Linked DNA regions of Canis lupus familiaris. The protein of the gene in region 3 interacts with the protein of the main gene of each other region in a pairwise test. Links are inferred from orthologs where the notes say so. Each region holds a gene or a part of one and is shown on either strand. Other genes may lie near its edges.

What was found.
Region 1: the proteins of RAB2B (region 3) and FAM71C interact in binary tests that used the Homo sapiens proteins (3 or more experiments, as listed by UniProt). The two-hybrid records come from large-scale screens. The link is inferred for Canis lupus familiaris from reciprocal best matches to the Homo sapiens genes RAB2B and GARIN6.
Region 2: the proteins of RAB2B (region 3) and FAM114A1 interact in binary tests that used the Homo sapiens proteins (3 or more experiments, as listed by UniProt). The two-hybrid records come from large-scale screens. The link is inferred for Canis lupus familiaris from reciprocal best matches to the Homo sapiens genes RAB2B and FAM114A1.

What each region holds. Positions count from the first base shown.
Region 1 is NC_049236.1:39,184,143-39,195,467, forward strand, and holds FAM71C (protein FAM71C), read left to right. Parts: upstream 1-6,120; 5' UTR 6,121-6,919; coding exon 6,920-7,507; 3' UTR 7,508-7,539; intron 7,540-8,222; 3' UTR 8,223-8,933; downstream 8,934-11,325.
Region 2 is NC_049224.1:74,060,588-74,071,632, forward strand, and holds the start of FAM114A1 (protein NOXP20), read right to left. Parts: upstream 7,289-11,045; 5' UTR 7,208-7,288; intron 6,985-7,207; exon of another isoform or gene 6,927-6,984; intron 6,476-6,926; exon of another isoform or gene 6,162-6,475; intron 1-6,161. UniProt on the Homo sapiens protein: May play a role in neuronal cell development.
Region 3 is NC_049236.1:18,617,313-18,627,895, reverse strand, and holds the end of RAB2B (ras-related protein Rab-2B), read left to right. Parts: intron 1-4,385; coding exon 4,386-4,497; intron 4,498-5,085; coding exon 5,086-5,154; intron 5,155-5,888; coding exon 5,889-5,996; 3' UTR 5,997-7,519; downstream 7,520-10,583. UniProt on the Homo sapiens protein: The small GTPases Rab are key regulators of intracellular membrane trafficking, from the formation of transport vesicles to their fusion with membranes. Rabs cycle between active GTP-bound and inactive GDP-bound states.

The DNA.
Region 1 (11,325 bases), about 21 Mb from region 3:
GGATAATTACTTGAACTAAATTTTAAGATTCATCAAGGCAGAAACTATATATAATCCTTATTTTATGTCATTCACAGTTCCTGGCACAAACTTTAAAACATGAGGCACGATGCACGTTTATATTGTTTAGTGCTCTATACCCTCCGTGTAACGAATGGTCAATAAACATTTGTGGAACAGATGGATGAATGCATAAAAGAACAGAGAAATATGGAGGGATACTAAATGAACTGAGATTCTTATCAAGTCATCAATTTTTTTTTAATCTGTCGAATAAAAAATATATTTAGCAGTTTAACTACCCTGGAAACATAATACAAAATGTGTATCAATTGAATATACACGAAGCAAGAGTGACATCAGCAATTACTGAGAACCTCTGTAACAGAGAAAGACTATAGTAAAAAATACTGAACAATAGAAAATATACAGATTTACCCTACTATGAGAAACAGGGCCCTTTAAAATTGTTTTTAATTTCATAGAGAAGTACTCACATGAGTTGTTTTTTTTAATTTTTATTTTTACTTTTATTTTTTATTTTTATTTTTTTGGCAGAGGGAGAGCAACCACAAGCAGGGTGAGCAGCAGAGGGAGAGGGAGAAGCAGTTCCCCACTGAGCAGCGCGCCCGACATGGGGCTCCATTCCAGGACTCTGGGATCATGACCTGAGTGGAAGGCAGATGCTTAAACGACTGAACCACCCAGATACCCCTCACATGAGTTTTAGATCAAACATAGATAAGCAAACTTGGGCAAGTTACTTAATCTCTTGAAACTCCATTTTCTTAAGGTCAGGTGAAAATATTTCAAAGAACTGTGATGAAATTTAAATGATACAAGGAATGTAAAGTTTCTATCATTCAATAAATACTAGATATTATTGTTAACATTACTACTATCACCATCATTATGATAATAGTTTCCTAAAAATATACAAAATGAAGGCTTTCCAATGGTAAAGCTTTAGTCCAATTATTTTTAAAGTTATTAAAATGACTACATAAAATCATAAAAACCTAGATCCGATGAATGCTTGGTAGTTATAAAATATATTCCTCTGTAAATGCCTCATCTCCTACCTTCTCCTAGACACAAACAAAAGGTATCTGCTCCTTAAATGAGTATGTAATAGATGAAATGTCTACGGACCAAATTTCCATAGTCATTGTAAGAGTTTCCTTTAGTCAGTATAACAACCACAAACTTAGTAGCTTAAAACAATATTAATTTATTATCAGATGGTTATTGAGATCAAAAGTCTGAAGTCTTATTTCACCCCTGAAGTTTTACAGGGGTAAAATCAAGGGGTCAGCAGGGCTTGTTACTTCTCGGGACTCTAGGAGAGAATTTTTTTTTTTCTAGGAGAGAATTTGTTCTCTGCCTTTTTCTTTTCAAGAGGTCACCTACATTACTTGGCTCGTGGTTCCTTCTTCCATCTTCAAAGTTAGCAGTGTAACATTTAAATTTTTTTCTCTCATTCTTCATCATATCCTCTTCCCTATTAGGACTCTTATGATTACAATGAGTCCACATTAGGCAATCCAGGATAATCTCCCCATTTTAGGATCCTTAACTTAATCACATCTGCAAATTCCCTTTTGACATATAGATTATTCACAGGTTCTAGGGATTAGAATCTGAATATTTATAGAGGGAGGAAACATTATTATTATTATTTATTATACTCTACCCTCTGGGCTCCAAAAAGGAAGCCCCAAAGTCCTTCTCTTCTAACCAGCAAATGGAGAATAAAAACAGAGGATTATCTGTTGGAGGTTTTTAATGGGGGAGGCCTGAAGGCAGTGTATATCTGCTGTCCACACGTAAAAGCCATTCACCCTCATCTCAACATTTTCCCAGGTTTCAACCCATTAACAAAATCAATTTAAACTCAGAATCTTATCAGCTCAAACTCCCAAATCTCATCATCCAAATCAGGTATGGGAGAAATTCTGAGTATAATCCATCTTGAAGCAAAATTCCTCTTCGTCTGTGAATCTTTGAAACTAGAAAACAAGTTATTTGCTACCAAAGTACAATGGTAGGACGGGCATAGAATAACAATTATTGATATTCCCATCCAAAGAGGGAGAAGGGGGGGGGGGGAATAGGGGTAAACAGTTACAGTCAACTTAGAAATCCAAATGAGTAAACCCCACTAGGTTTCAAAGACTAGGAATAATCCTTCATAGTGCTCAGGTCCACTCTCAGCCCTGTCCTCTCAATCTTCCTATTTAATAAAGGTTAACAACATTTGCAACCACTCAGTTTGATAAGTCTTTTCTTGACTCCACAGATCCTTCCTGGATAATCCCATCTCTGGATGGTTCTGAGAAGATCTATGACACATACATATAATCTCATCAAAGAGCCCTCTGTGTGATGGAATACTGATTTTTTTTTTTATCACGTGGGCACTAGGAAAAAGTTATCCAGTCACACTTTTGGCTTTCTCCCCAGGACACACTTTCTTGACAGTGAATCTAAAAATTTAGCCTCTTTTTCAATCTGGACAGGCTGAGAATGTCTCAATCACACCCTGGTTTCTTTTTGCTTAAAAGCTAGATTTTCCAGCTTTCTGTTATTGTTGATCTTTAGTTTTGTATCACTGTGGTTAGAAAATATACTTGGTATGATTTCAGCCTTCTTAAATTTGTATTATTTATGTCTTTTTTATGTGATTTAGCCAATGGATTCTTCTGTGTGTACTTGAAGAAAATGTGTATTCTATTTTTTCTTGGATGAAATGTTGTATATGTATCTTTTAGAACCATGGATTCTGAAGTATGCCTCATATAAAAAATGTGCTTGTTGGAAAAAAAATATTCACTCAATTTATCTTTTTTCTCTCATATTTGCTATAGGTAGCAAGGAGATACCAGGCTGTACATTTAGCGCCATGCTTGGAAATTCCTTCAGCTAAAGATCCAAATTTATCAGATACTACTTTGCTTTCTATGTAACACAATTCTGCTAGGCTTTCTGCTACTATTCAACACCTCCTTTCTCCCAGTTTTCAATAACATATTTCTCATTTACTTCTGTCTTTACCAGAAGCACCTTTAACAATATTCATACATCTACCCACATGCTGGCTATGGTGATTTGGGTATTCTCTAAGGTGATAATAGGTTTTTTCTACCACTTTCCTCACTTTTTTCTGAGCCTTCACCAGTAGTGCCTTTAATATCTATCTTTCTACAAATACTCTGTGAAAATACAGGTATTTTTTGAGACCGTATAGTTGGGTTTTGTTTTTTTTTTCCCCCCATATAACAGCCTTCTGAGCCCTCACTGGCAGAATCATTAGTATTCATATTTCTGTTCAAGGCAATCTAGATTTTTCCTACTATACCACTCAAAACTCTTCCAGCCTCTAGTTACTGCCCGATTCCAAAGACACTTCCATATTTTTATGTATTTGTTATAGCAGCCTCCCACTTCTAGGTAGCAAAATCTGCATCAGTTTCCCAGGGCTGCAGGAACAGATTAAGACATACAGAGGCTTAGAGCAACATAAACTTATTCTTTTACAGTTCTGGATGTCAAAAGTCCAAAATTATTCTCACTGGGCTAAAATCAAGGTGTTTGCAGAGCTAGTTCTTTCTGGAGGCTCCAGGGGAAATCCACTTCCTGCTTTTTAACCACCGGCATTCATTGGTTCATGGTTGTATTGCTTTAACCTCTGCTTCTGTCATCACTTATCCTTCTGATTCCAACCTTTTGCCTTTATTTTATAAAGACCATTGTGATTACATTGGACCCACCTGGGTAACCCAGGCTATCTCCCCATCTCAAGATCCTTAACTTAACCACATCTGCAAAGTCCTTTATCATGTAATGTCATAGGGTCAACTTGTGAAGATCAAGATATGGACATCTTTTGGGGGAGCTAATATGCCTACCACAGCCATGTTCATTATTAACTAAATTGTCTAAAATGTTTAACCCATATTTTCAATTACATTGTTTTAAGCACTCCCCTCGTTCACTACCCAAATTACTGAGATAATATTTTGAATGTTTGTTCTTCTAAAAGTTCCAGCAAAAATTTCAGCAACAGAATAAGACTATATATTGAATCACAATTCCCAGAGCTGTTGAGATCTGAATAATTCCTTGACTCATTATTATTGTTCGGAGTATTTCCAAAGAACACAGTAGTTTCATTATAAGGAGAAAATGTTAAGTCCCTATGATAAAAATCATAACTGTTTTGAAGTTGAAAGATATCTAATGAGTCATCTCAATTTCAAGGATGAGAAAAATAAGACCCAAGGAAGTTAAATGATTTACTTGATGACACAAGCTCTAATGTAGAGGACAGGGAGCATAAATTTATTTTAATCATATCTAAAGCCTAACTGTATGGAAATCTGTTTCAAGAACAGCATATAGAAAGCTGCTGCATTCTCATAAAAAGAATTCCTTAATCTCAGATTCAGGTAGCTTTTTATTTAGGCATCTGAACTTCTTAAGTTTTGAGGCAAATATTCATAAGATAGTTTTCTAAATGGCTAGAGGAGTTTAAGACAAACTATATCAGATTAATGAAAATAGAAATATATTTTCCAGAATGCTACACATGATGATTATCAGGCCAATAATAGGAGTTTTACTGTTGTTGATCTAATGAGTGGTCTGGAACAATTTCTGAAAGTCCATAGACCCTACAAGTATTACAGTGTCTGATTTCCCTGGAGATAAGACAATTACCTCAGGTTCTAATGGAATACTAAGATAAATATCTTGTAATATATGTGCAAATGCTTTTAAGAAAACCAGTATATCTTCACGTTGTTTTTTTAAGCACCTAAATTAAATTACTGTGTCCCATGCTATTTATTCTTTTCAAAAAAGACCAAAACCACTGGGATACTTTTAAAATGTTAGTTTGTTTACTAACTGTATATTAGGCTTAATGTTTTTTCTAAGATAAGTAATAGAGACATAAGGTAGAAATTAAGATATAAGTAAGGACTTTAAACAAGCCAGTAAAAATTTTTATTGGTATGTTAAGAGGCCTCTTAATAAACAAAGGAAAACTAATCCTATTATCAGAAATACTGGATATTTCAATATGAAGGGAAGAAAATGTTTCTTTTGACCTATAAAACAAACTAAAGACTCAAACACTATGGCTACTATGACTTTCTATATGTGTGTGTGTTGTGTATATCATCATACCAATAAAAATACCTTGATCTTATTGAATTGATAACATGGTAGTCAGCAAATTTCTTTTTTATATATATCCAGTACGATAGTGGGTAAGACTAGAGTATAAATGTAATGTTTAAGGCTCCTTTATTGTATAGTCACCATATAAACATCTAGAAAAAAGCTTAAAAATCTCATCAGCAACGTGAGGGTGTATCAAAACATAAAATTTATCATGGCTGTAAATATAGGCATTGCAAATAAAAAGTTTTTTCCCCACTAATAGAAATAATTAACCTAATAAAAATAGGAAGTATAAAGAAAAGTTATACCATCCAAAGATAAGCACTTTAAACATTTCACTGAACATATTTTCATATGCAAACACACACACAGATGATCTTATATAAATTGGACCACACATAGAATGCTACTTTGATATCTTTTTGCTTTGCTCTTTTTCTTTAAGAAAAAAAAAATCAAGACTATCATGTTAAATAGGGAACTACATAATGATTTTCACAACTGCAGAGTACTATATCATAGAATGCTCCATAATTTTTTTAACCCAGCCCCTATTGTAAAGCATTAATCTTGTTTATGATCTTTTTTCGCTATAATAAACCTTGATAAACACCCTGCACTAACCTATTTACCACTTTGTCCAATTCTCTCATCAAGGTAAATTCTCTACAATTCTCAAGGTAAATTGTCTACAATTACTTCTAATTGGTTACACCAGAAGTCCTGGTTAGGAGAGTGTGTATATTTTAAGCTCATACCTAACAGAAATTTTACCTAAACCTTTTTAAAGGAAAGTGATTTGCCAGTATGTATTAAAAACCTCAGATGAGTCCCTAGGGCAGGGGGTTGTGCTGAGCTGTCACAGACAGGGTAGCCTTGTAAGGATGGGTGGGGTGAGGCGGAGAGGACAGTGTCCCTGCTCTGAGGGAGGGGCTGATGGGCAACAGTGACAAAGGAGTGCGTGGTGGGCACAGGTCACAATGGGCAGGAGAAGATAAAAGGAGTCCTGTGGGGTGGTTTAAGCCCAGGTGGAGGCTTCAGTTTCGGAGGAGAGGAGCTGTACAAATACAATAAGCAGTGAGGTTGTAGAATGCAATAGAGCAGAGGCTATTGTGAACCAATGTATTAGGCTCAAGAGGAGGCCCCTCCCTACTCCAAGTGAACACCAACATCTACACGCCTCAACATCTGCATACTCTGACCTCTATTGGGACCCTAACATCTGAGCACTTCAACATCTGCGCACTCTGACATCTACTGAGGACCAGATCTCTTGCTCCTCCACATCTGCGTACGATTACATCTACTGGGGCCCAACCTCTGTGGGCCTCCACCTCTGTGCACCCTGACATCTACTAGGGTCCCAACATCTGTGCACCTTGACATCTGCTGGGGCCCTGACCTCTGCTCCTCAACATCTGCACATGGTAATATCTACTGGGGCCCCGATTCTGCACTCAACATCTGAGCACCCTGTCATCTACTGGGTCCCTAATGTCTGTGCACCCTGACATCTCCATGATCTAGGCAGAGCACAGTCTAGTACAGGTGCAATTAATTGTCTTTAGCACTGAACAATTGGTAATCAGTACTCCCACCCTGTTCTCAGTTGCTCAGAGACCTGTAGAAGACCACTGCTGGGCCACCTGCTAGAGAAATCAGGGAAATAGGACACCCTGAAAAGTGTGGTAAGGTGTGGAAGACCCATAGGAGTCCTTGATAAAAGATAGTCATGAACAGTCAGTCTAAGTTACCACATTACACAGCCCAAAGCAGCCCTGCAATGGGTATGTTTAATACCTCCATGGGGAAACTACAGCAACACCTGTACAAGAGGGAGTACACCATATTGAAGTATGCACCAATGTTTGAGAGTGACTTTATACAGGTGGGCAAAAAAGGAGAAGTGACTGACGACGTGCACAACCGTGCCCGAATGGTGACTGTGGGCATCATCCGCACCAGCCCCCACCTCACACTACCTGATGTCATGCTGCTGGCTCGACCAACTGCTATCTGTGATGACCATAACAGATATGGTCCTGCCCCCCAGGAAAAGGGTTACAAGCCTACACAGATCTTAGAGCTAACCAGACTGTGTCCTTCAAAGTTTGTAACAATATCCATCCATAATGGTACAAAACAACAGCTCCACCTGAAGCTTGCCACTGGCCGCTCTTTTTACCTTCAGCTCTGTCCCCCTTCTGATACAAAAGATCTTTTTGTGCATTGGGAAAACCTTGTTTACATTCTGAGACCACCAGTAGAGGCTTACAGTGGTTCCCATGCCATCCCAGTTGGGGACTCACTGGGGACATAACTGGGTTTGAAGAGGAGGACAAGAGTCCATCGGTAAGTCTTCACAGAGACTCTAAAAGATGGGGCCAGGGTGCTATGGGAGAACAGCTAAAAGTCCCGCAGAGCCTTTGGTACTGAGGCTCACCTTTGGGTGAGGCTCACCTAGAAAATTCATTACATTTGGATGGGTTCAGGGCAATCAGAGCCTCCATTTGGAGCCTGTGTCACATTGAGGAGGTTCCGGGGGCTCCAGAGTTCCCCAATGCTGTATTTCAGAGCTTCCTTAGCTGTCAGCCACTCTTAATTTCACATCCAATATTGTATTGCCATCTGTGGCATCCTCACCATCTCCCCAGCCATGGCTCCCCATGATTGCCATGTGCTGATTCTGTATACATCAGTGGCAGACAGATGTGCCTGTGTGCATTGTTCATAGCTGTCAGAATACTGAAGTGCATCCCACTTAACCAGCAGAAATACTAACACAAGTGTATAAAAAATAGAATATGAGGATATTCACTGGTGAATTATAACAATGCTCTTGCTGACACTGGAACTGTCCAAGAAAAACTGGAAGGATCATGGGGTCATTGTGGAGATATTAAGGAGGGTGGATTCCTGCAACAAATGGGAAATTGGACTTCAGATCTCAAAATTCTTATTATAAACTCTTGTTGTTTAGCTATAGGAATAAAAGGTCTCACTTTGTTTATTTCACTTGTTTGTCTCTCCCTTAGGCAAATGTCATTCATTTCTATGGAAGGGATCAAGATCAAGTTGACATCAGGAGTCTTCACATGAACCCTGATTGTTTGGGGCCACCCCTTATGTGTATGCTGGGGAGGAATGAATTCACCATGCCTCCCACACCTGCTGCATTCAAGAGTTCACATACGTCTGCAGTCACAAAGCCTACAGTATCAGATAAAAGGTCAGGGATGGCGACAGCAGCAGCCATCACAGATCCAGGAGGAAGCACAGGAGAAAGACCATAGGGGGTGCATTCGGCATGTCCTAATATTGTTGTAAGCAAGGGCTACAAGCCCTTCTTGTCTTCAGAGGGCACTTCTAGCACATCAGGAGGAGCTACTGGCTTCTTCTCAGAGGGAGAACAAATCTGGTGATTCCAAGAGCAGAAACTACTGGCAAGCCTGTGGCAAAAACAGCTAACAGCTCAGTATTGAGACCCTTCATTACAACCTCAGAGTAAAGGCTACATGAATGAACAGGATGGAAGCCAGAGGTCTCCACCCAGCAGTACTGACTCTTTAGGAAAGAGCCTCAAAGCCCTGCACCACACCATGGTGCAGAGGTGGACATCTCATATAAGACTGTGGAGGAGATCAGTGTCATCCACCCTCACACAATTCATCTCAAATTCTCTGCTCTAATCATATATGCTCTTTTAAAAGGGAAGGGTAGCAATAAAAACAAATGGCAATTTCTGATCAGGTTCTGAACTATCTTTAACTTTCCCTTAACTTGATATTTGTGATTAAATTCACAGATGATAGAATAAAATACTAAAGGTTACTCTAAAGACTCTCATTTTTCATCTACATGTATTAACCAAAAAAAAAAAAGGTCTAAAATTTCCAAAATATATAACCAGGAACACAAGCAAATGGTAGTGATTATTATTATTATTATTATTATTATTATAAAATATTATTTTCAGGAGTATTAAAAAATTAATTATACTTTCTAGAAAGGGCTTCATTTCCCCAGTCTCTTTATTCTTGTTTTTTTTGCCAACTTAAATATTCAACTGCATTGAAATTATACTAAAATACCTAACATATTCTGTAAGCCTTAATTTTAATTCCCTGATGTTATTTAAAATTCTTAATTTCTTTGTGAAAATTTAGAATTCGAAATAACATCTTGTCACAAAGGAAGGACAAAATGCCATATTAAGACTAGAAAAAACAAAAATTGGCTAAAACCCGAATATAGGATCAATTCAAAATCTAGACAAAAACTGGAGGCTAGATAATCTTAGAAGTGTAAGATCCATAGGATCAGCCAATGTTCTAATTTTGCAAGCAAAAAATCTATTTGAGACTCTAAAAGTAATACATCACATAGTTTTAATTGAGTCTGTATTTCCATAATCCTCATGTTTCTGAAGATTAGGACTATGCTTTGAATATAGAAGATATTTGATACATGTGTGCTTGATCCACTTAAATTAAGGGTTATGAATGTGAAATAAATATATTTTATTTGAATCCAACAAATCTGAGCATATAGAAATTTGCATAGTATTATACTAATGCCAGTGATTCCCAAAGGCTCCTTTACCAAACTGTAAGGTAATAGGTTTTTGTGAGGCCTTCTATGCATAGTCATCAGTTTAATGATTTTCTAATGACCTCCCAAAATATTTCAGGTCTAGAAAAAACAACTTCAAAACAAAATCCTTTTTTTTTCATGAAATTTTAAGAAAACTTCTATTCTGAAGCTGGCCCAGAAAATCCTGAGTTCAAAGCTATTGTAAGTTGAGGACAAACTTACATTTGATATGATGTCTCCAATGTCACAACAAATGTATTAAGTTTTATTGTAGATACATATGTTAAAGGAGAGTCCATCAACAAATTGAGAACATTAGTAGAAGACCAGATGAGAATAGTAACAAAAGAATTCTGCTCTTCATTTATTATATTAAATAGAGTAAAAAAAAGATACTACATGTCAAGTAAATTTATAGATGTAATCAGTAACAATGAAAATACCAATAAGGATACTTTTAGAAAATATAGATTTCTAAGACCAGGCAATCATGTCAGCTAATTAATGCAATCATGATTTCTCCTCCCATGCATTATATGTAAAAATATCATGGTGGTTTTAAAAATAGGACAACAAAAATAAGAGATTTCAGAAGAAAATCCAAGCCAAACAGGATGCAATATAATGAGAGAAATGGGAGTTGCTTCTAGATGAGATGAATTAAACAAAAAAATAAGAAGAATAAAAATAAGAATTTTAATGAATTTAATAGTTTAAAAAAACTACACAAAAACCTCACATATACAAATGAGGGGGAAGCTGCAGACTGGGAAACATTTTGTGGTAAATATAAACTATTAAAATACTATTATTTGCAAGTCTTCACAGGAAAGTGGCCCAAGAAAAATCTCTAGTATTAAAATATTGTAAACCAAAGTCAAGTTACTTCCAAGCCTACTACCAAACTTAATAAAATGAAAAAAATCAGTGTTGAAGAAGGTGGTAGAGAAGCAAATTTTAGTTATATATTATTGCTGGCTCAGAGCTCTAATACTTTATCTTATGAAACAATAACAAACAATAAAAGCATTTGATTACTAGTAAACCATTAAGCAGATGAGGTTATATTAATAAAATAAAACTTATATTTTTTTCATTCCTTTATCCTATCTCCTTATAGATAGGAGGTAAAACTCATTTTTTTTTTTTTTTGGAGGTAAAACTCTTTAAGTGAGGAAATGAAACTGCCAAATATACTATGCATTTATTAATTGTTCCACTGAAATACTACTTAATAAAAAAAAAAAAGAAATACTACTTAATACTTACAATATGCCAGGAACTATGCTGGCCCTGAAATAGATATAATGCAATATATAATCCCTACCTTTATTGAACTCAGGGTCCAGTAGATATTGATAACAATTCTGTAATGATTAGGATAGTGTCTTAGAGTCCTAAAAATAGTTCATGTTAAGGTGAAGAGATTTTTTTTTTTTTTTAGGTACTATCTGCTGACTTTGTTTTCTCTACAATAAATTAATATTGGAACTTGATCAACTTGTGACATAAGACATGAAAAATGTGATTTTTTTCTTAGAAATA
Region 2 (11,045 bases), on a different chromosome or scaffold from region 3:
ATTTTTATGTAATCATTTGATTTAAGTTTACATTTTACATAGGCATGTGTAGCTACTGGCTACCTTACTGGATAGCACTGATCTAGAAGGCTTGTTTGAGGTGATAATTTTCTTAGGCTAACATGAAAACAGTGTTCTCACTATAACAGAAGCCAAGTCTCAGTGAAATCAGCTGGTATTTTTGTTGAGCTGTGTTTACTAGTTGGTCAAACATCAAGTTGCCATTAGAGCCATGGTAGGTAAGTAGCCACTTAACATATTGGCTACATGGAATCCAGGCTTAGAATCACATGCACATGAAACTCTCTGGTCCCCTCATGTAGCCATCCCCAAGGTCCTCTGGCTATTGTCTCTGCTCATGCAACATTCTCTCCCTTGGTGAATCACATCCCTTTCTCAGGGTTTCATACACCACTCTCATGTTGTGAGTTTTGAATATCTATCTCATTCCATTGAGATGGAAGGTGAATTAGTCGTTTCCAGGAGCTGAAGGGAATAAGGAGGGACGACTAATGGGTACAGACTCCTTTCTTTGGTGTATGATGAAAACGTTCTAAAGTTAGATAGTGATAATGGGTGCACAACTGTGCAAATATTTTGAAGACCACTGAACTGCACACAAAGAGTAAATTTTGAGGCACGTGAATTATATCTCAATATATTAAGAGTATCTGTAACACATATAACCTAGTGCTTCATGTTAATAATGCTGTTATTAGAAAAAATTCTACTTCTGTATAAGTAGTTCCAATGGCCAGTTGGTCATCTGTTCCCATCCAAAATGGAGTCTGTTGTTTTATTGTTAATACTAGTTCTTCTTCTTGACTTTTGAGTTTCCTTTAATGGTGCCTAGATTTCCCCTCAATAACCCAGGCTTAACACCTCAGGGCTGTCATTAACTAAACCTTCACCCTCTCAAGAATATATAACATCAATAGCTATCATTTATGGAGTGCCTGTCAAGTGCAGGCTCCTTAAATGTATTATCTCCTATTAGATATTATGAGCTCCATTTTACAGGTGAGACAACTGAAGCTCAGAAGTCACACTTTCAGCAAGTTGTTAGATTTGAGATTTGTACCCACATCTAACTTTGAAATTGAACCATATCAGAACTGTATCTGCAATGCCACCAGCCTCTGCTCTCACATTCAACCAGTGGCCAAATCCTAGAAGCTCTTTATTCAGAATTCATGTCTTTTTTTTTTTTTTTTTTTTTTTTTTTTTTTTTTTTACCTCTTCTCACTGCCACCACTCCAGCTCAGGCTCTCATTATGGTTCACACTGATGATTTCAACATTGGATTCAGCCCTTCCCTGTTGCTCTCCCTTTCACTTCCCCATACCTCCCCATCCTGTTCATACATCCCCAGGGTTTTCCCATTTACTATGGAGATGAGGCCACCAGCTTTAGTTGGCATTCAAGCACCTCTGCACATCGATGCCACTAGCTTTACTCCACAGGTCCCTCCCAAAACCTAGAATGAGACCATGTAAGCATGTGTGCAATGTCTGACATTCACAGAAGATCCTCACATGGCTGTTGGTTCAAAATGTTGTCTTTCACACATTTAAAACCCAGTTAAAATAACCACTGCCTCCACTGTTTGTTCTTCCCAACTGGATATATTTTTTCTTCCTCTGAAGTGCCGAGTGCTTTGTGTCTGTCTCACCTTGGTGAGAGCTGCTTCAGTGTTTTCCTTGTACAGTATGTTGGAAATACTATGAAGACAAGGATCTTCCTTGTCTAGTTTTCATGTTTTATGTGGCACTTAACCTGGTTTCTTGAACATATTGGGGAGCTCAACAAATATGTGTGTTGTTATATTAATATATTTGGAGACTTAAAATTAAAATGTAATTTGGATTACTGTTTTTGTATTTCTTGGGTAAATACTCAGTAGTACAATTACTGGATTGTAGGCACACCTCTGTTTATAGCAGTGTTATTTACAATAGCCAAACTGAGGAAGCAGCCCATGTCCATCAGATCAACGGAAAAAGAAGATGTGAAATATATATATATATTTAAGTATATATATAAAAATATATAAGTATATATATATTATTCAGCCAGCAAAAAAGAATGAAATCTTGTCATCTGCAATGATGCGTGGAACTAGAGTATAATGCTAAATAAGTCAGCGAGATAAAGACAAATATCACATGATTTCATTCATATGTAGAATTTAAGAAATATAACCAACAAGCAAATTAAAAAAAAAAAAAACAGAGAGCAAGAGCAAGAGAGCGAGACACACCAAGAAACAGGCTCTTGACTATAGAGAACAAACTGATGGTTACCAGAGGGGAGGAGGGTGCGGGTTGGGGGAGACAGGTGATAGGGATTAAGGAATACACTTGTGATAATCACCAGTGGATGTATAGAACTGTTGAATCACTATATTGTACACCTAAAACTAATATAACCCTGTATGCTAATTATATTGGAGTTAAAAAAATTTTTAATGTAATTTGAAATGAAAACTAGCAGAAAATGCCTTTACCCTATTTACTACTCAAGAGCTACTTTACAGCAAATGGTTCCAAATGATCCATATTGTCTTTCCTTGGTTCCTTCAACGTCTAACGTCTCCTTTTAAATAAAAATCCTTGAATTTAGTAATAACACTCCTGTAAACAAGTCTATGAGTGGGAAAGGCAAAAAATGCATACTTCCTTTTAGCTGGCATATAAAGAAAATCTCTGAGTCAGAACCAGGTTAGGACAGGGGGTTGGCAAATTGCAGCCTTCTGGCCAGATCTTGCCCTCTGCCTGCTTCGGTAAATAAGATTTTGTTGGGACACAAACACATTCATTTGTTGATGTACTGTCTATGGCTTTTCTAGCACTGCAGCACCTGAGTTGGGTATTAGAAAAGACCATATGGCTCACGAAGTCGCAAAGCCTAAAATGTTTACTATCTGGCCCTTGACAAAAATGTTTGCTGACCCATGGTCTAGAAGATTGCCTGGTTGCCATGACCTAAATATTGTTTTAATTTATCCTATGAGTCCTAGGGGCATAAGGAGAATGGGTTTGTGAATAAATGATGCTTTGACATCACTTTTGTTCCCAGTTTTTATTCATCAATAGCTGGTTCCTGGTATTGTCTGATATTTTTGTGTAAGGTAATTTGAAAATCGTATTATTAATCTGATTTAGGCACTTAATCAGTGCCAAACTATTTCACTTTTCTGTAAGTAGGGACATGGGACTAAACCTGGCTATAATAAACATTCATGGGCAAATAAAAAACATTTTGGACACTTTGTCGATTATGCTTTGCCCTAAATGTGTCGCCAGGCTATTCATCATGTACTCTAAAATCCTTCAGCATATATCGTGGGACATACATGCCGGTTAGTTGTAATTTACAGCCTGGGGTGGTTGGTTAACATCCCAAGTGCCCTATTCAGGAATATACTCTCTGGAGGACTTCAGTTGGCATTCAAAATCTATAGTTGTCCACCTCTAGAGAGGGTTTCCCAATCACCCTTTTGAGTCAGTACCCCCAAGATGTGCTAATTAGAAATTCCACTGGTGAAACGGAAAATGCTGAAGATATGTGGACTGGCAAGCAATAATGGACAGGTCAGTCTGCCCTTCTATCACCAGGGCAGAAGATATTATTGGATATTATTGAGTTCAGCAGCTTAGCCCTCTTTGAGATATTTTCTAGTTGCGCTTGAATTGCAGGAGAACCCCAAAGCCTGATTGGGTTAGCTGAGCCCTGCCTCTAGAGCAGTCCTCACCAAAGGCCAGAGAGGACGGAGAACACAGGTTTCATCAAGCTTGTAAAAACAAGCTGAGGGCCAACCTGCCTTAGGTCCGTTCACCTCAATTGCAGAGAAATGGCTGTGACAAAAACCTCCTTCCCTGCAACTGCTCTGCATGTTCAACCAGCAGTAGGAAGCCACCCCTTCAGAAATACCCCACATCAGCTGTAAGGTGTTGAACCCACACCGTTAAAAATATTTACGGATGACTTCTATGTTTCAAGACATTTTCACATCAGTTTGGATAATAAAAATGGTCACTATAGTTTTCAGCCCTACTTTAATTTCTTATATATATCTTTAATCTCTATTTCCTTCTACCTGCTACAGGTCTGTATTTTCTCTAAACCAAAACCAAAACCAGAAATCTTTTTCCTTTGTTCTCGTAGATCTTTATCTCCTCTGGGTGTTATGACAGGAAAGACGGAGTTAGTTTTAGACTGTGCCCTTTTCTCTGAGGCCATCAGAAAGTATCGCATCCTAAAGACACAGCTGCTTGGGGCCAGTGACTGTCGGAGTCCACCAGGACTACAGCTGTGACACATGCTGTTTCCTAGGACAGTCCCCATCTCGGCCTGGGTGCCCCAGAAGCAGTCAGACTTATAAATCTCTCCTGATTTATGGTTTGGAACGTTGATCACTGCAGCCATGTCTTGTGGCTTTGATGCTAGTGAAACTCAACCCACAGAAACAAGGAGGCTTCTTTAGAAAAACTCAAGGAGAGGAAGAGTAGCATATAAAGGAGCCTTTGTGGGCTGGGAATAAGTTAGTTTTTCATGAGTAAATTCATTCATCACCTAAAACGCTCCCAGAACTATGCTAGGTATTGGAGCAGCAACATCATAGGCTCCAAAAATAAGTTTAAAACGGAAGACACGGCTACTATCCTTCAGAAAATGAATAATCTGTTTTCATTTTAGCTCTGGTCAATGAAGGTCCACGAAACTACTTCAGCAAACATGAGATGGTTAAACGATGATACAAAACAGCACACCGAATGAGGGAAAGATGTGCCTGAATTAGACTGACCTTGTGCAAAGGAGAACCTTGAAAATAGCTTTGATAGGATTACTTGGGCCTGATGGGAAAAGAGTATGTGCAAATGCCCTGCATCAGGAACGAATTCTAGATAATCAGGATGAACATCTGTGTGGCCCAACCAGGAGGCAGTCTAGAGGAACAGTGAGGGCAGGTCAGTGGTAGGAGTGGAGGGGGGGTGGGTACTCTGAGGCAGAAAGAGTGTTCTCTGGTCCCACCATCTCTTTGTGGGCACACAACTCACTCCTGTTGGGCTTCCTCACTTCCTCCTCTGTAAAGACTGGACAAAATGACCTGGATATTTGGTTCCCAAACACCAAAGACTGCGGGACTGGGACCAGTCCATGATGATAGAGAAAAATGAGGACAAGATAGCAAGTTTTTCATCCATCTAAATTTATTAAAGGGCTGCCTTCATCTTGCAAGTTTAGCCTTCATGCTTTTCTTGGTATTAAATGTCTTTAATTTTACCGCATAGTAGTGCAGTGGATGGATTTTTTTTAAAAGGCCACTTTCGGCAAAATATGAATTTGGTAATGCAATACCCTGGATAAGATCACTGCCCCCAATTTTAAAAAGGGCTGGTCAATGAGGACCAGGAACAAAAACTCTGGGTGAGAGGTTAATCAGCAGCTAAGGTTCCCTCCTATGAAGCTCAACATGTGCCCCAGCCCAAGCTCCCCCTGCACCCAGCCTGTTTCCTCCCCTCTCCACCTGTCTCCTATGTTTTTTTTTCTGAAACACAGATGGGACCTATTTGCTCCCCTGTTTAAAACCACCAGGATTAAACACCTTTGCATGACACCTGTGGCCCCACACGGTTCTGCTCCGATCTCTTCATCCACCTCTTGTAACTCTTGGTACACCGAGCACTGTCGCCTGGCCAGACTCCCTCAGTGACCGCAGCCTGCAAATGTGCCCCCCTTGCCTTTGCCTCCCTGCTTTCTCCGCCCCTGGGGCTGCCCTGCCTGTAACTGCCGGGCAAACTCCCATTTGTCTCTTTCCACATCTAGCATCACTTTTTACTCTATCATTGTCCTTAATTTCCTCCACCCTTTTCTCGCATTAACTGCTTTCCCTTCCACGTCCTGTGTGTGTCCGTGTGATCCTCTGCACTGACTTCTATGGCATTTATAAGGAGTCTGCATCTGTGTCATTTCCTCCTCCTGGACTGTGACCAACACGCACTCAGCTCGGGTTCTGATCCTCAGATGTTTACAGAACTGAACTATATAATTGTCTGATATTGATCCAAGAGAAAGAATATTTGACATAAGTCAGACCTATAAATACACGGCTACTTATATGGGCTGAATCCTTGGTATTCTAGAAGGCTCCCTCTCACCCTCCAATTCCTTCTGCACTGGCTCCGTTGTGCTTCTGACACCACCCTGGAAGTTTCATGCCTTCGCTTAAAGCTTACAGGGTCAGGAGCTGTCAGTCTTCCCTGAGCTCGGGTTCTGAGGGAGGAAAGGGAGGAGGGCGCAGGGGGTGAATATGGGTGAGGTTGGGAGGGGCCTCCGAGGAGAGAGACTGTCTCTCCGGTGACCTCGGGGTGGAGGTCGAGAGACGCGGATTTCAGAAGCCACCTGCTCGTACCCTTAATGTTCGGGATGGGATGGGATGGCGTGAATGGGGCCAGATCCTGCCCTGAGCCCACACTGAGAGGTCTCCGGACTCTAGGAGAGGGCAGCGCAGCTCAGGCGCCCGAGCGGAGGCGGCGGGAAATACTCACCCGATTCCGGGGCCCAAAGGGAGACAGTGGGTGAGCGGGTGGGGCCTGGGAGCTGGGGGGCTTGCAGCCAGGGCGCGCTGGCTCTTCGGGCGCTGGCTGGGGCGCTGGCTGGGGCGCACGCGAGGCCGCCGAGGGAGGGAGGACCCAGGCGGGTGGGGGTCACGGCCAGAGCCCCCCGGCTCTCCCACGGCGGGCCAGCCGGGGAGGGAGGCCTCTGCCTTACGGGGACCCGCTCCCCCTGTGTCGCCGGCGGACCCGGGACACCGGGGAAACTTCTCCAGCCTCGCTCGGGGCCGGGACCCGAGACCTGGAGAGCTCGGGGCAGGCTCCGCGGGGGCTGACGGCGGCCGAGGGCGCAGACCCCGAGCGCGGGCGTGTGGGTGTGTGCATGAGCGTGGACCCGGAGCGACACACACTCACACACACACACTCACACGCCCGCACCCACGCAGGGCCCTGGGCCGCGCCGCCCGCGCCCCCCGGACCTCCAGCCCTGAGCCCGCTCCTCCCGGTCCCGGCCGACGGCTTCCCCGGAACGCGCCGGGCGGGATGCGGGCCCAGGACGAGGAGCGCCGGCAGGGCCCCCCCGCGCCCCCCCGCGCCCCCCCGCGCCCGCCCGGGGAAGGGGATGCGGAGACGGCGCCCCGGGCTCTTACCGCTCCGGCGGCCGAGTGCGCGCGGGAGCGCCCGGCGGGTCCCGCCCCGCCACGTCGGCAGGGCCGGCGGGGACGCGGCCGGAGGGCGGGCCGGGGGGCGGGGGGGACCGCGCGGCCGGCCCAGGAGGAGCCCCGCCCCGCCCCGCCCCGCCCCCGAACCCGAACCCGAACCCGCCCCGCGCCCCGCGCCCCGCACCGAGGGGGCCCACTGGGAGCCTCCCGCGCCGGCCGGCGCCACCCCACCTGGGGAGGACCTCGGGGTTCCCCGCCACCGTTCCCTTCCTCTCAAGGCGCCCGGAAAACCCCGCAGCGTCCCCGGGAAAGGCTCGCTTCGACTTGAGCAAGAGTTTTCCATGCGCCGATTGTGCGTTCAGCAGCTTTCCCTTCCTTCCCTGGCTTCAGGGAGCGCCATCCGATGCAAAACCAACTAAACACGAGCACTCTCTACAAGGCCAGTTCGGAAATGTAGGTCAGGATGCAAAAGCCCTGGGGCGCCCCGGTGGCTCCGCGGGGCAGCGGCTGCGCGGCTCAGGTCAGGAGCCCGGGGTCCCGGGATCGAGTCCCACAGGAGGCTCCCCGCGGGGAGCCTGCTTCTCCCTCTGCCCGCGTCTCTGCCTCTCTCTGTGTGTCTCTCATGAATGAATAAATAAAATCTTAAAAAAAAAAAGATTCAAAAACATTAGCTGTGGCCTGGGAATTCCACATTTGCAAGTTTGTCTCAAATAGTCAAATGTAAGAATATGTATGTACAAGGATATTTACTGTGGTTGTTTATGCCCGGGAAGACGCATACATAGTCCATCCCACAATAAAGGATTGTTTTTTTAAGATTTTATTTATTTATTCATGAGAGACACAGAGAGAGAGGCAGAGACACAGGCAGAGGGAGAAGCAGGCCCCATGCAGGGAGCCTGACGTGGGACTCGACCCTGGGTCTCCGCCGAGCCACCGGGGCTGCCCCAAAGGATTGTTTAAAGAGTAGCAGCTTCGAACAGTCTCATATGCTGTGGCCATTAAAAATTATAACTATCCATCCGACTTGTTGACATGCAAAGAAAGCAGGCCGTAGCCAAATTTCAAGTCGAGGCCTGGGGAAGTTTACCAAAGTGTATGTACGGTGTAACTCTTTTCCTGTAAATACATCTATATGTGTATATATTTTATATGAGTTAGGGAAAATACAATTTTAAAAAACAGTGATTCTTTCCGAGTTCTGTAATTCTGAGTGTTGGCAAATTTTGTTCAAAAGGCGTGACAGGTGTGTTTTGGTGTTACCATGGACACAAACACTGTGCCTGTGACTTCTGCACCCGCCTACTAGGGACAGCAGGTACTTTTGCCACACCTGTCCTCCCTCTGCACTGAACGGCAAGAGCACAATCAGACCTGCCTTGTAAGGGCTGGCTGGTTTCCTTTTCTCCTTTGACCCAAACCACACCTTTCCAATAAAAGAATATCACACAAGGAACCCTAGCCACAAGGGTTTTGTTGATGACTGCAGATTATGCCCTGCTACTCAACTGCTGCTGCTTCCAAGCCCACCAGGTTTTAGTTCAAAACCTGTTATTTTTTGCAACTTAGAAATTCTTTATTCATTTAAAAAATTCCAGAGTCTTAAAACATATTGAAAAGCAGAGAATAATATGACAAATACTTATTTAAGAAAAAAAGTGGAGAATGACAATAGGTAGATTGAACAACTTTTTTGTCATATTTATTTTAGAACCTTCTTTTAAAAGAAAATAATGTTAAAGATATTTGGAAATCCTTTCCCTTCCATTCTCCACCTTCCCTGGAGGTAACCATTGTCCTGAGGTGGTTGTAAACTCTTCCCACCCTTATTTCTATATTTTACGGCACATACCTTTATCCACAGATACTATATAGGATTCTTTTTCCAGCAGCCTGGGTGGCTCAGCGGTTTAGCGCCGCCTTCAGCCCAGGGGTGATCCTGGAGATCCGGGATCCAGTCCCACATCGGGCTCCCTGCATGGAGCCTGCTTCTCCCTCTGCCTGTGTCTCTGACTTTCTCTCTGTTGTCTCTCATGAATAAATAAATAAAATCTCTCTAAAAAAAAAAAAAAAAAGAATTATTTTTCAATGTTTTAAAATTTTATTTTTTTTAAAGATTTTATTTATTTATTTATTCATGATAGTCACACAGAGAGAGACAGAGAGGCAGAGACACAGGCAGAGGGAGAAGCAGGCTCCATGCAGGAAGCCCGATGTGGGATTTGATCCCGAGTCTCCAGGATCGTGCCCCGGGCCAAAGGCAGGCGCCAAACCGCTGTGCCACCCAGGGATCCCCCTGTTTTAAAATTTTATAAGTAACATCCTATACATTTGTTTACTCAACATTATATTTTTGAGAATCATTTATGTTCATATGTGTAGATCTAATACATTAATTTCGGTCTTTATAGGATTCCACTGTATGAATATCCACAATTTATCTATTTCCCAGTTGATGGAAATTTGGGGCATTTCATGTTTCACTATTACACATAGTGCTGCAATGGCCATCTTTGTATATGCTTTCTGGTATCCCAGGCTAGACATGGAATAGCCAGGCCGCCTTTCCTAGATTTTTGAAACTGTCCTTCAGTGTGGTCCAACTGAGATGAGGAAACTGAAGGGACTCCATAAAAATCTACTTTTTGTTCCCTTTCCTACTTCTATTCATGCTATGACCTGCACCCCCACCTTACACATGCCTCATAGTACAAATAATACATGTCCTCCTGTTAAGGGACAAGGAGTTAATGACTTCTTTATTTTTCCAGTACAATAGATAACATCTAAGAAAGGACTGGTTGAGAATGACCAGACAAACCATATTCCGGATCATAGGCTCTAGACATCTCAGTGCCAAGACCCCCTGGCTCCAAGGAATAAATGACTTATAGAGGATACCTGGACCCTTGTCTTTGTTCTGACCAGTTCTTGGATGCCTGAGAGGACACATATACTAGACCACAATCTTCAATAAAAACTCCAGACCCCAAACAAAAACCACAGTAGGGACTTTGGCTTATACTTTGAATGAGAAGAGGATCTTTACAGATTTTGAGTAGGCATGTGTGATGATTCTAGTGTCTGATTCTCACTGGGTTGGAGTGGGATAGGGTGAAGGTGGGTGGGTGGAGGAAAGAGCAGAGGCAAACAGACCAGTTTGGAGGCCATTGCAATTATCCATGTAAGAGATGACTATGGTTTGGCCACCATGGGAGCAGTGGAGGGCATGAGAGGTATTTTGCTTTTGGAGATATTTCCAAGAAAAACCCAATGAAATTTGCTCAAGGATTGGATGTGAGGTTTGAGGAAAAGAAAGAAGTCACACATTAGTCCAAGGATTTTGACCCGAATGACTACAAGAATAGAAGTATCATGGGGCACCTGGGTGGCATAGTCAGTTAAGCCGCGGACTCTTGGTTTCTGCTCAGGTTATGATCTCGGGGTCACGCGATCCAGCCCCATGTCAGGTACTGTGCTAAGTGCAGAGTCTGCTTGAGATTCTTTCTCCTTCTCCCTCTGCCCCTCCCTCTTGTGCTCACTCTCTCTTTCTCTTTCTTTTTCTCTCTCTCTAAAAATCAATAAATAAATCTTAAAAAAAGAATAGAAATATCACTTATTGAAATTAGGAAGAATGCAAAAGGGACAGGTTTGGGGTCTGAGGTAGTAAGGATTCAGGCATTTGATTTTCAACAAGAAATGTTTAGCAAATGCTTAGCAGGCAGTTGGATATAAGAATCTGGGGTTCGGGGGAGAAGTCTAGGCTAGAGATAGTAACTGGGGAATCTTCAGCAAATTGATTGTTTTTTTTTTTTAAAGATTTAAT
Region 3 (10,583 bases):
CCCCACGAGCAGGGAGCCCAATGTGGGGCTCAGTCCCAGGACCCCGAGAACATGACCCAAGCCTAAGTCAGACCTTAGCCAACTGAGCACCCAGGCGCCCCAAACAGAAATTTTTAATTGCTTTAGATTTACATTTTTAAAACTCTTTTATTTTTTATTTTTTTATTTTTTTATTTATTATTTTTTTATAAAGATTTATTTTTTATTGGTGTTTTTAGAACTCTGAAATTTACTGAGGTAATATATCAAAAAACCAGATTCAAAATGTTAAGGCATAAGCTTTGTAATTAGTTGTTCTCTTCTGCCCCCAATGTCAGTTCTGCCTGAGAGGGCAGCTCACTCTACTCCAGCCTACAATTAAAGAGTGAAATAAAATAGGTAAACACTAAATCTTGTACCAATTGCTACAAGAAGCATTAAAAAAAAAAAAAACAGGGTGGAAAAATTATCTGTTAACATCTTACACAGTTTCACTCCTTTATAGAGTAAAGAGTAAATGCAAGGCTGAGCTCTTTCCCCGGTCTAAAAAATGCATTCATCTGCCCCTCTCTCTGCACGTCTTTCCTCCCTTTAGGAACACACTGAACTAATAGTTTCTTCTTGCAGCAGCGCAGGCTCCATGGGCAATCCCTGCACCCAGGAAAACAAAGGGGATACCCAGCCACTGTCCTCTGGTGCTGAGCATCACTAGCACTAGAGAGTGTGAGACTCTTAAGCAGGGTCCACACCCGGCATGGTGCCCAATGTGGGGTTCCATCTCGGAGTCAAAATCAAGAGTCAGGGGATCCCTGGGTGGCGCAGCAGTTTGGCGCCTGCCTTTGGCCCAGGGCGCTATCCTGTAGACCCGGGATCGAATCCCACGTCGGGCTCCCGGTGCATGGAGCCTGCTTCTCCCTCTGCCTATGTCTCTGCCTCTCTCTCTCTCTGTGTGTGACTATCATAAAAAAAAAAAAAAAAAAAAAAAAAAAAATCAAGAGTCAGATGTTTAACCAGCTGAGCCACTCAGCGCCCCTGAGTGATTTTTATTAACCATTCAGGTGCCCCTGAGTGATTTTTATTATTTTATTCATTTAAGATTTTTATTTATTCATAGAGACACAGAGAGAGAGAGAGGCAGAGACACAGGCAGAGGGAGAAGCAGGCTCCCTGCAGGGACCCTGATGTAAGACTTGATCCCGGATCCTGAGATCACGCCCTGGGCCAAAGGCGTCTAGATGCTCAACCACTGAGCCACCCACGCATCCCTTTTTCCCTCCCAGTTTTGTACTTCCTTTTTATCACAACTGCCAAAAACTCAGATTACACAAATATATGCAAATATTGAACAGGATCTATTTTGATCTGACAGTGACACTGTGAACTGTCTTAAGCTTATAATTCACGTGGTATTCTGGTGTTGTTAACTGTGTTTCCCTTAAAATTTATCCTATGGCAAAAAAAAAAAATAATCCTGTGGCACCCTTGTGCATTTGTAGTAGTGCCTAGAGTGCGCCATTTGAGAACTGTGATCACAGACTTATTGCACTCATTTGTTTGAACTGTGTTTCTAGATGTCTGTGTGCCAGATCCTGAGTGTACAGGGTGAGAAAAGGAGAGTCCTGCCCCTGGGATGCCTGGGGAGCTCAGTGGTTGAGCCTCTCCCCATCGGGCTCCCCGCAGGGAGCCTGCTTCTCCCTCTGCCTGTGTCTCTGCCTCTCTCTCTCTGTGTGTCTCTATGAATAAATAAAAATCTTAAATGAATAAAATAATAAAAAAAGAGTCATACCCCTGTTCCCATGGAGTTTATAGTTTATTGGAGACGTAAGTGTTAAATATAAAAGGATCTGTATCTAATTACAAATTGCGATAAATGCAATGAAGGAAAAAAGGGTGCTATACAAGAGCATAACAAGATACTTATTTTTAATTAAGGGTGATGGTTAAACTGGAATCTGAAGGATTTAAGTAAGAGTTAAGAAAAGTGGGACGCCTGGGTGGCTCAGCAGTTGAGCGTCTGCCTTTGGCCCAGGGTGTGACCCAGGGGTCCAGGAATCCAGTCCCACCTGGGGCTCCCTGCATGGAGCCTGCTTCTCCATCTGTCTGTATCTCTGCCTCTCTCTCCATGTCTCTCATGAATAAGTAAATAAAATCTTAAAAAGAAAAAAAAGAGTTCAGAAAAGTATCAGATAAGGGGAACAAACTGAAAGCTTTGAACTGGGAAGAACCTTGGCAAGGTCATAGTATTGAAAGAAATCAGTATGGTTGGGCTAAATCAAGGAGGAATGAGGTTGGGAAGGTAGGCAGGGTCTAGATCTCTTAGCACTTTCAGGCCTTAGGAAGAAGTGTGGATTTTACTCTAAACACAGTAGGAAGCTTTTAAGAGTTTTGTTTTTGTTTGTTTTTAAGATTTTATTTATTTGTTCATGAGAGACACACAGAGAGAGACACAGGCAGAGGCTCCTTACCAGGGGCCCAACACAGGACTCGATCCTAAAACACAAAGATCATGACCTGAGCCAAAGGCGGACACTCAACCACTGAGCCATCCAGGCGTCCCAGCTTTTAAGAGTTTTAAGCAGAGATGTGGCTTGATTCAATTTTAAAAGATCACTCTGGAGGGGGGCAGGGGTTGAAGTGGGATGTCTGTTTCAGTAGTCTAAATGAGAATGGTGGCGTGGGCTTGGGTGATGATACCAGAGAGAGGGGAAAATGATGGTGGTAAGGTGCATTTTGGAAGTACCTTGGGGTGGATCAGGTATTTGGAGTAAAGAAAGAAAAGCTGAAAAGAAAGAAAGAGAGAGACAGAAAGAAAGAAAAGAAAGAAAAGAGAAAGAGAAAGAAGGGAAGGGAAAGGAAAGGGGAAAGGAAAGGAAAGGAAAGGGGAAAGGAAAGGAGGAAAGGAAAGGGGAAAGGATAGAAAAGGAAAGGGGAAAGGAAAGGAAAGGGGAAAGGGAAGGGGGAAGGGAAGGGAAAGCTGTGAAAATAATAGTGTCTTGGATTTAGTTTGTTGTCCTTTATGGAGATGTAGAAGCCTGGGTCAGAAGCAGTTTGGGCAGAAAGATCAAGTTCTATTTTGATGTATGTTCGAAATACCTTTTATGCATCAGATTGGGAGTAAAGAACAGACAAACGGACAGGAGGTCTGGAGCTTAGAGGAGAGGCTGGGCTAGAGGTAGACATTTAGATGGATAGCTCTTCCCTGGTCTTCACACAGCTGGTGAGTGATAAATGCACATTTTATAGATTTGTTGCAGTGGGCTTGCTCCTTGATTTCATGTTGGGAAACTGGAAACCTCTGAAATGCAAATTTCCAGTTAGAAAAATGAAAATCAGACAGTCCATCCTTACCGTTGTCCACAGCCTTTTATCCTGTCTTGTTGTGAAGCCTTTCCATGCCACCGGATTCTCTTTTCTCAGTCTGTGGCTCCTTTCCCCGCCTCATATCACCTAACATTATATATCTTATTTTTCTCTGAGTCTTTTATTTCCCTGGTGGCAAGCTGCAATTATATATGTTAATAGTAAGACTAGTGAGAGTTAAGGCAACTGTGTTCTCCTTATTCCTGGCACCCTCTATTCTTCCTTTTTTTTTTTTTTTTTTTTTTAGATTTTATTTATTTATTCATAGAGACACAGAGAGAGAGAGAGAGAGAGGCAGAGATACAGGCAAAGTGAGAAGCAGGCTCCATGCAGGGAGCCCGATGTGGGACTCGATCCTGGGTCCCCAGGATCACACCCCGGGCTGCAGGCGGTGCCAAACCACTGCATCACTGGGGCTGCCCCCACCCTCTATTCTTATGGGTTGATGCCAGTAAAAGAGGAAGACACTTCTCATTACGACTTGGGCCATCTAGGACTTTTCTACTTTCTAACAACTGGAATTTCTCTTTCATTTTCTTTCCTTGGTTCTCCCTAGATCTCATTCCAAAAAGAAGCATGGAACACAATAAGCCTGGACTAACTATGGGGCTTGCCTAACCTTTTATAAACCTTTCTCTCAGGGCACTTTGGTGGTTCAGTCAGTTAAGCGTCTGCCTTTGGCTCAGGTCATGATCCCAGGTTTCTGGGATTCAGGCCCCACATTGGGCTCCTTGCTCAGTAGGGAGTCTGGTTCTCCCTCCCCCTTTACCTGCCACTCCCCCTGTCTTTCCTCTCTTTGTCAAATAACCTTTTTCTCTGTAAGAGTAAGTTATTGTCCTCAGCCATGCAACACCTGTCGTGAATTTGAAGAATCATTTTCCAAGAAGCTACAGAAATTAGTAATCCTATATGAGAGAATGTCATGTGGGATCTACATGCTTTATGTATTAACTGGTGGTTGAAACAGCCCTGGGATTCTTTTAGAATATGAGTTTCTTCTTTCACTTGGATCTTTTTTTAGTTTTCTCCCCAATCATCTCTTGCAGTGACTTAGAATCCCGTAGGGATGTGAAGAGAGAAGAAGGAGAGGCCTTTGCCCGGGAGCATGGACTTATCTTCATGGAAACTTCAGCCAAAACAGCCTGCAATGTTGAAGAGGTACTACTTGCGAAAAAGTAGGGAAAGCTTTTGAGAGATGACAACATATCTTTATTCTTTTATTCAGGATTCTCTTCTATAAGACTGTTGGTAAGGAAAGGGTGTCTGTGGTTACATTGTATGTCCGTATGTCTCCCTTTAAGGGAGTTGTCCCTTTTTTTTTTTTTTTTTTGTCTTTGTTCCTACAGTAGGGTTTTACTTTTGCCTTGTGTAACATTAATTGGCAAGTATTATGGATTAGACACTATTGTTACTTTATATTTCAGTTGGAGGGTCTCATGGGTTCTACAGGTAGTCATTCTGAAGCCTGCTGTTGACTGTATCTTTAGTAATTAATTGAGAACAGAGCATGTTTGTTTTATTTGGAGAAGGGGCCAGTCAAGGATCATCTTGGGTTAGTATCAAAATACCATATAGTCCTTTTCTTTTTGAAATAGAGACTTTGGGGGATCTTTTGTATTTTTACTCTGGTCTCTTAATGGTTCCTAATTTACCTTAGAAATCCAAGTAGGAATAATATTTGTATTCCCGTTTTCTAATTTCTTTATCTAAACTTGAGCCTAATAATATGATTTCTGTCTCCTTTAGGCCTTCATTAACACAGCCAAAGAAATATATAGGAAGATCCAGCAGGGTTTATTTGATGTCCACAATGAGGTGAGAAAGGGTGGGGGGAGGCTGACAAGTAACTTTGCTGCTTTGTGTTAAATAGGACAAGAAACCCCCTAGAATGTGAGCATTTCCTTTCTAACACTGTGCTTTTTGAAGCTATGCTAATCCATACTTGATGTTTTACAAATCTGTCATCATTTTCTGTTTTTTTCTCAAGTCCGAGGCCCAGAATGCTTAAAGAGGTCATTAGTTGGTGATCTAAGATGTTTACACAGTATAGGAGATTATCTTTGGGAAGAGTTTTTACTATCCCAGTGTTTAGGGGTGAGGTAATTCCTAATTGCTCAACAGGGCCATTTCTATAAAGCAAATTCTGGGACAAAACAAAAAAGAATTCTGTGCTAACATCTAGTCTTTCACCTTCTCCTGCTCTTATCTAATCTCATCCTGATTGTACACATAGCCATGAAACCTAAATACAATAGTCACCTTAAAATTGAGCCATAGAGGGGCAGCTGGGTGGCGCAGTTGGTCAAGTGTCTGACTCTTGGTTTCGGCCCAGGTCAGGATCTCATCTATAACACTTATGTCTGAGCTTGTCATCTCATCTTTATGGTTGAAGACTACTGTCCCACAGCAGTTTGCCTAGGGCACATGGTTAACTGCCAAAGCCGTATCTGCTTCTAGAAGATGTAACTCATGATTTCTTTTTTAATCCCTCTCTTTTCTCCCATTTACTTTAGCACTGAGGTGGAACTCTTGCCTCTTTTCTCTTACAGGCGAATGGCATCAAGATTGGTCCTCAGCAGTGTATTTCAGCATCAGTAGGACCCAGTGCCTCCCAGCGGAGCTCTAATGAAATAGGGTCCAACTCTGGCTGCTGCTGAGTATCTGGCCTGGACTCTTTTTTTCCTTCCTGGAACAACGTCAGATCAATAGGCTTAAAGAAAGAGGTCTTAACTTGCTTTGGCTGAGAAAAGCCTCTTTTCACGGTGTGATGTTTTGCCTTTCCACATAAAGACCAGGGAAGAATTTGGGCCCTACTGACCTGTCCTCCTTCAGGGACGTGAGGATTCCCTATAGATTAGGGCTCTTCTCATCCTCCTATTTTAATTTCTAGAATGTTAGGATCAAACTTGATTGTCATGGTAGCTCAAAAATAAATTCTTTTATAAGTATATACAATTCGCTCCCCACTAAGAATTGGTAATGAGGGCCTAGGACATTCTACTTGAGCACTTGATTTTACTGGGATCTGGCTGGCCTTTGGGATGGTGGATCCTGAATCTAGGAGTTTCATGGATTGTTTTCACTTGCCACTTTGCAAGTGTTCTTGCAGAAGGCAGTTTCTTCTCTAAAACTGTTCAAGGATGCTGAATACTTCTCTACCATTTCATTGCTAGTTTCTCTGTCTCCGAGTAACTAAAACTTTTGAGAGCAGTGGAGTTACTCCTGGACATGTGCCACTTAGCATCATTACTTAAAGAAAACCTCTTTCCCTGTTTGCTTTAGGGACCAGACCGAACACTGCAGTGTCTTTCACCAAATTAACCCCCTACTGTTTCACCATACTTCTCAACAACACCTATTTAGACTTTCTACTTTAATCAAGCTAATCTGCTTTCTGGACATATTTACTTACACTTCTATGCTTTTGCACATGCCCTACTCTCTGCTAACATTATACTCAGTCCCCAAGTTTTTCCTTCAGAAAGCCTTCTTTGACCTACAGACTTCTAGATAAGTATTGACCCAGTACCCCTTAGGCTTTCATATGTTGTTTATTCAGATGTGTATTTATTTATATTTATGTTACTTTGTAAATTTGTTTTGTGTGTGGAATCTGTTTCCCATATAGGTTGTAAGCTCCTTGAGAGCAGGAACCATGTTATCCCTTTACTTTTGTAAACCACTCCATTGTTCTTCACTGCGCCTAGTGCTACTTGCCTAGTGCTACTCGTTATGTGATCATTGGACTTGACTGACATAAAGACTTGTAACAGGTTTATTGTAGACTGCAAACAAAAGGCCTTAGAGTCATCTCTTTGTAACTCTTTGTCTCTTCCATCTGCTTACCCTGGATTCTGTATTGCTTTTCCTCTGTCACCCCTCTCCCTTCCCTGGCTCTTCGCCTCCATTCCGTGCAGCATACAGTAAGGCTGTCAGCTTCCACGCAAATAAGTGGGTACCTTTCCAACCATTTTTCTTTTCAATGGCATATAATACTATCCTAAGCAAATTTGCCTTTGCTTAACTCATCAGGCAGCCTTCTGGGTCAGTTTTTTGTATCTTTTGCCTTGATGTCCTGTTCTCTTCCACAGCATTGAGGTCTCATGAATTTTTCTAATTTTTTTTGTTATTGATGAATTGTTTCACTATTAAATATATGCATGTATCCAAGCTGCTCATATTTCATGTGTTCTTTCTGATTTTATCCCAAACATATATAGATGTTCTCCTTCTAGGAAATTAAAGGTATTGGAAGAAGCGTCCTTGATATACACTTTTTTTTTAAGTTTTTATTTAAATTCCAGTTAACATATAGTAATAGATTCAGTACTTATGTACGTCACCTCGTGTTCATCACAACAAATGCAGATACATTCATTTTATACTAGATTTACCTCCTTGTATTAGTAATAATAGTTATTACACCACATAAAGTTGGAGGACATTTAGGGTAGTGCTTTGACTATACTTTAAAAAAAAAAAATCCTACCTCATTCCAAAAAGGATCTGAGGCTGTTGAATTTGGGGTTAGCCTGTCCCCTCGTGCCAGGAGCAAAACTGTAACTGCCTAGTTTCTGTACATAATCTCCCAACCTCCAAGGTTTCTGTCATTAGTTTAAAATTTCAGGAAGTGAGGGGTACCTGGCTGACTCAGAAGAGGGTGGGACTCGATCTCAGGGTTGTGAGTTCAAACTCCATGTTGGGTGCCGAGATTACTTAAAAAAAAAAAAAAAAATTTAAACTTAAAAGAACCCCAGAACACTCCTAACCTTCTATACTTGGGTATTTCATCCATGTAAGGGAAGCATGAGGAAAGTTACTTGGGCAAATTCATGACCTCTATTGATCGTTGCTGGTGATCAGAGACACGGTCATGGTCATGAAACATGATAGGAAGTAGATTCCCCAGCCCGTGTGAAGAAGGGGAGGTCTGATGAGGGCATGCTTGGCTGTCAAAGGCCAGCACCGGGGCACACGTCCGGCTCAGGTGATAGAGAAAGGTACTCTTTTTTTAAGAATATATTTTATTTATTTATTTGTTCATGAGAGACACACAGAGAAAGGCAGAGACAAAGGCGGAAGGAGAAGCAGGCTCCACGCAGGGGGCCCGACGCGGGACTCGATCTCGGGACCCCGGGGTCCCGGGAAACGGACTGTTGATCTCGGGGTCCTGAGTTCAGGCCCCACCTTGGGAAAACTTGGAAAAGGAGGAGGTGGGGCCGCTGGGGTCCCGCTCGGGGCGAGCCGTGCAGCCCGGTACTTACAGGTCTCCGCGGGCGGAGGCCTCCTGGGCAGGCCGTCCCCTCCCCTATCGCCCACCGCGGCTTCCTGCGGCGGGCCTCGTTCGGGCCGAAGACGCAAACTAGACACGGTCGGTGCTCCCTCCACCCAAGCTGGTGGCCGGGGCTCCCGGGCCGCGGGGCGCGCTGCCTCGACCGCGGCCCCGCCCGCGCCATCCCCCACGTGACCTGGGGCTCCGCGGGCCGGAAGTGCCCCCAGCGGGCCCCGGGGCGGCGGGGGCACGGAGGGTCACCCTGTGGCTGCGCGGGAACCCGTTCGCATTCCAAAATAAATAAATAAATAAATACTGTTTTTAGTGCTGCCGTGACGCGTGGGTCTCCTCCCTCCCACGGTGGGGGGGCCGCCGCCGACCGCACCGGGCCCCGCTCCCGACCGCCCGGCCGGACCGCACAAAGCACGTCGGCTCGGCCCGCCCCGGCTTCCGCGTCCCCGCGGCCCGACCCAAGATGGCCGCCCCCGCTCGGGGCCAGGCCGCGCGGCCCGCAGCGCCCCCAGCGGTGGCGGGCGGGGGCGCAGCTGGCGGGGGCCCGCACGCCCGCGAGCCGAGCAGCAGGGCCCGCGGCCGCCAGATCTTATTTCCACTCAGGCACATCCGTGGTTGCCTACGTACCCCTCTAGGCCCTGCAGGACCTCCCCGCCTCCGGGGACTTCCGGGATGGCGCTCACACTACCTTGCTGGGGGGCGGGGCCGGCCCTGCCATTGGCAGGCGGCCCGGAGGTGGGCGAGGCCTGCGGCGTACGGACTGCCAGCAAGCTAGGTTGAGGCGAGGGCTGGCCATGCTCCGCCGGAAGGCGCCTTGTTCTCCGACGCGGTGAGGGGAAGCGCTGGCTGGCAGGGACGCTGCAGGACTGGCTCAGGTAGGGCTCCTGCTCGCGCCGGCTCGTCAGCGCTGCGCCGGGGGCCCCTGCGCGGCCGCGGCGCCCGGGGCGGGCCCCTGGGAGCCCCCGGCCCGCCCGCGCCGCGCTCCCCGCTCCCCGCGCCGCCGGGGCGTGAGGGGTCAGGCGCAGGGGGCTGCTCCGGGCCGCCCCCTTCTCTTTGTGAGGGGCCGGGGGGCGCCGGGGCCTGTCAGCGCGTCCCGGGCGTGGTGCGCGCTGGCGGCGGCGACGAGACCCCCCGGCTCCCGGGTCACCGCGCTTTGGACCCAGAAGTGGGAGGTCAGGGTGGTTGTGGTGGCTTTTTTTTTTTTTTTCGTTTCTTTCTTTTTCTTTTTTTTTTTTCTCTCTCTCTCTTGTTTGTTGGTTTTGTTCCGACGATGGAGGTGGGTCGGAAAGCTCGGGGCGGGCCGGCGCCTTCGTTGCCGGTTACCGGGTGCGAGCACCGCGGGGGTGCGTGTGGAGAGGCGGCGGCGACAGGGCCGCTCAGGCCTCGCGTCTCCGTTGACAGGTCCGCAGAGCCCGCGGGGCCCGGCCTGGCGTTATGTAAACTCTTCCCGGGCCGGAGACCCCTCCCCCTGCCTCGGAGCGGATGCCGGCCCTTCGTTTACCTGTGTCTAGTGTCACAGAGAATTTTCCAGCCATTGCAGCCTCAGCAGCAGCAGCAGCAGCAGCAGCAGCTCTTGCCTTTAAGCGGCGGTCGCGAAGGGAGGAAGGTCTTCCGAGGAGTGCAAGGCAGGTGCATGCATGTCCAGCGGGTCGGCCGTTTCTCCCAGCGACTGAGCGTAGGGAGCTGGGAGTCGGAGACCTGGAGCTCCATGAGGCGTCCTGGCGCAGGGCTCCAGACCCCAGCGCGGCCAGGCTCTCCTGCATCCTCCCCTCACAACCGGCATCCACACACGATCGCTCTCCTCTGTTGCTCCGGGCCTGTCAGCTCAGGTAGGGATTCCCTGGCCTGTCCGGTTCGGGACCCTCGAGACGCCGGAGGGCTCTGTCAGTTAATGAGCTACCGTCTTCTGCCCGGGAATTTCGTTGGTAGGGCTCACCAAACAGGCTTCCAAGAAAATCGT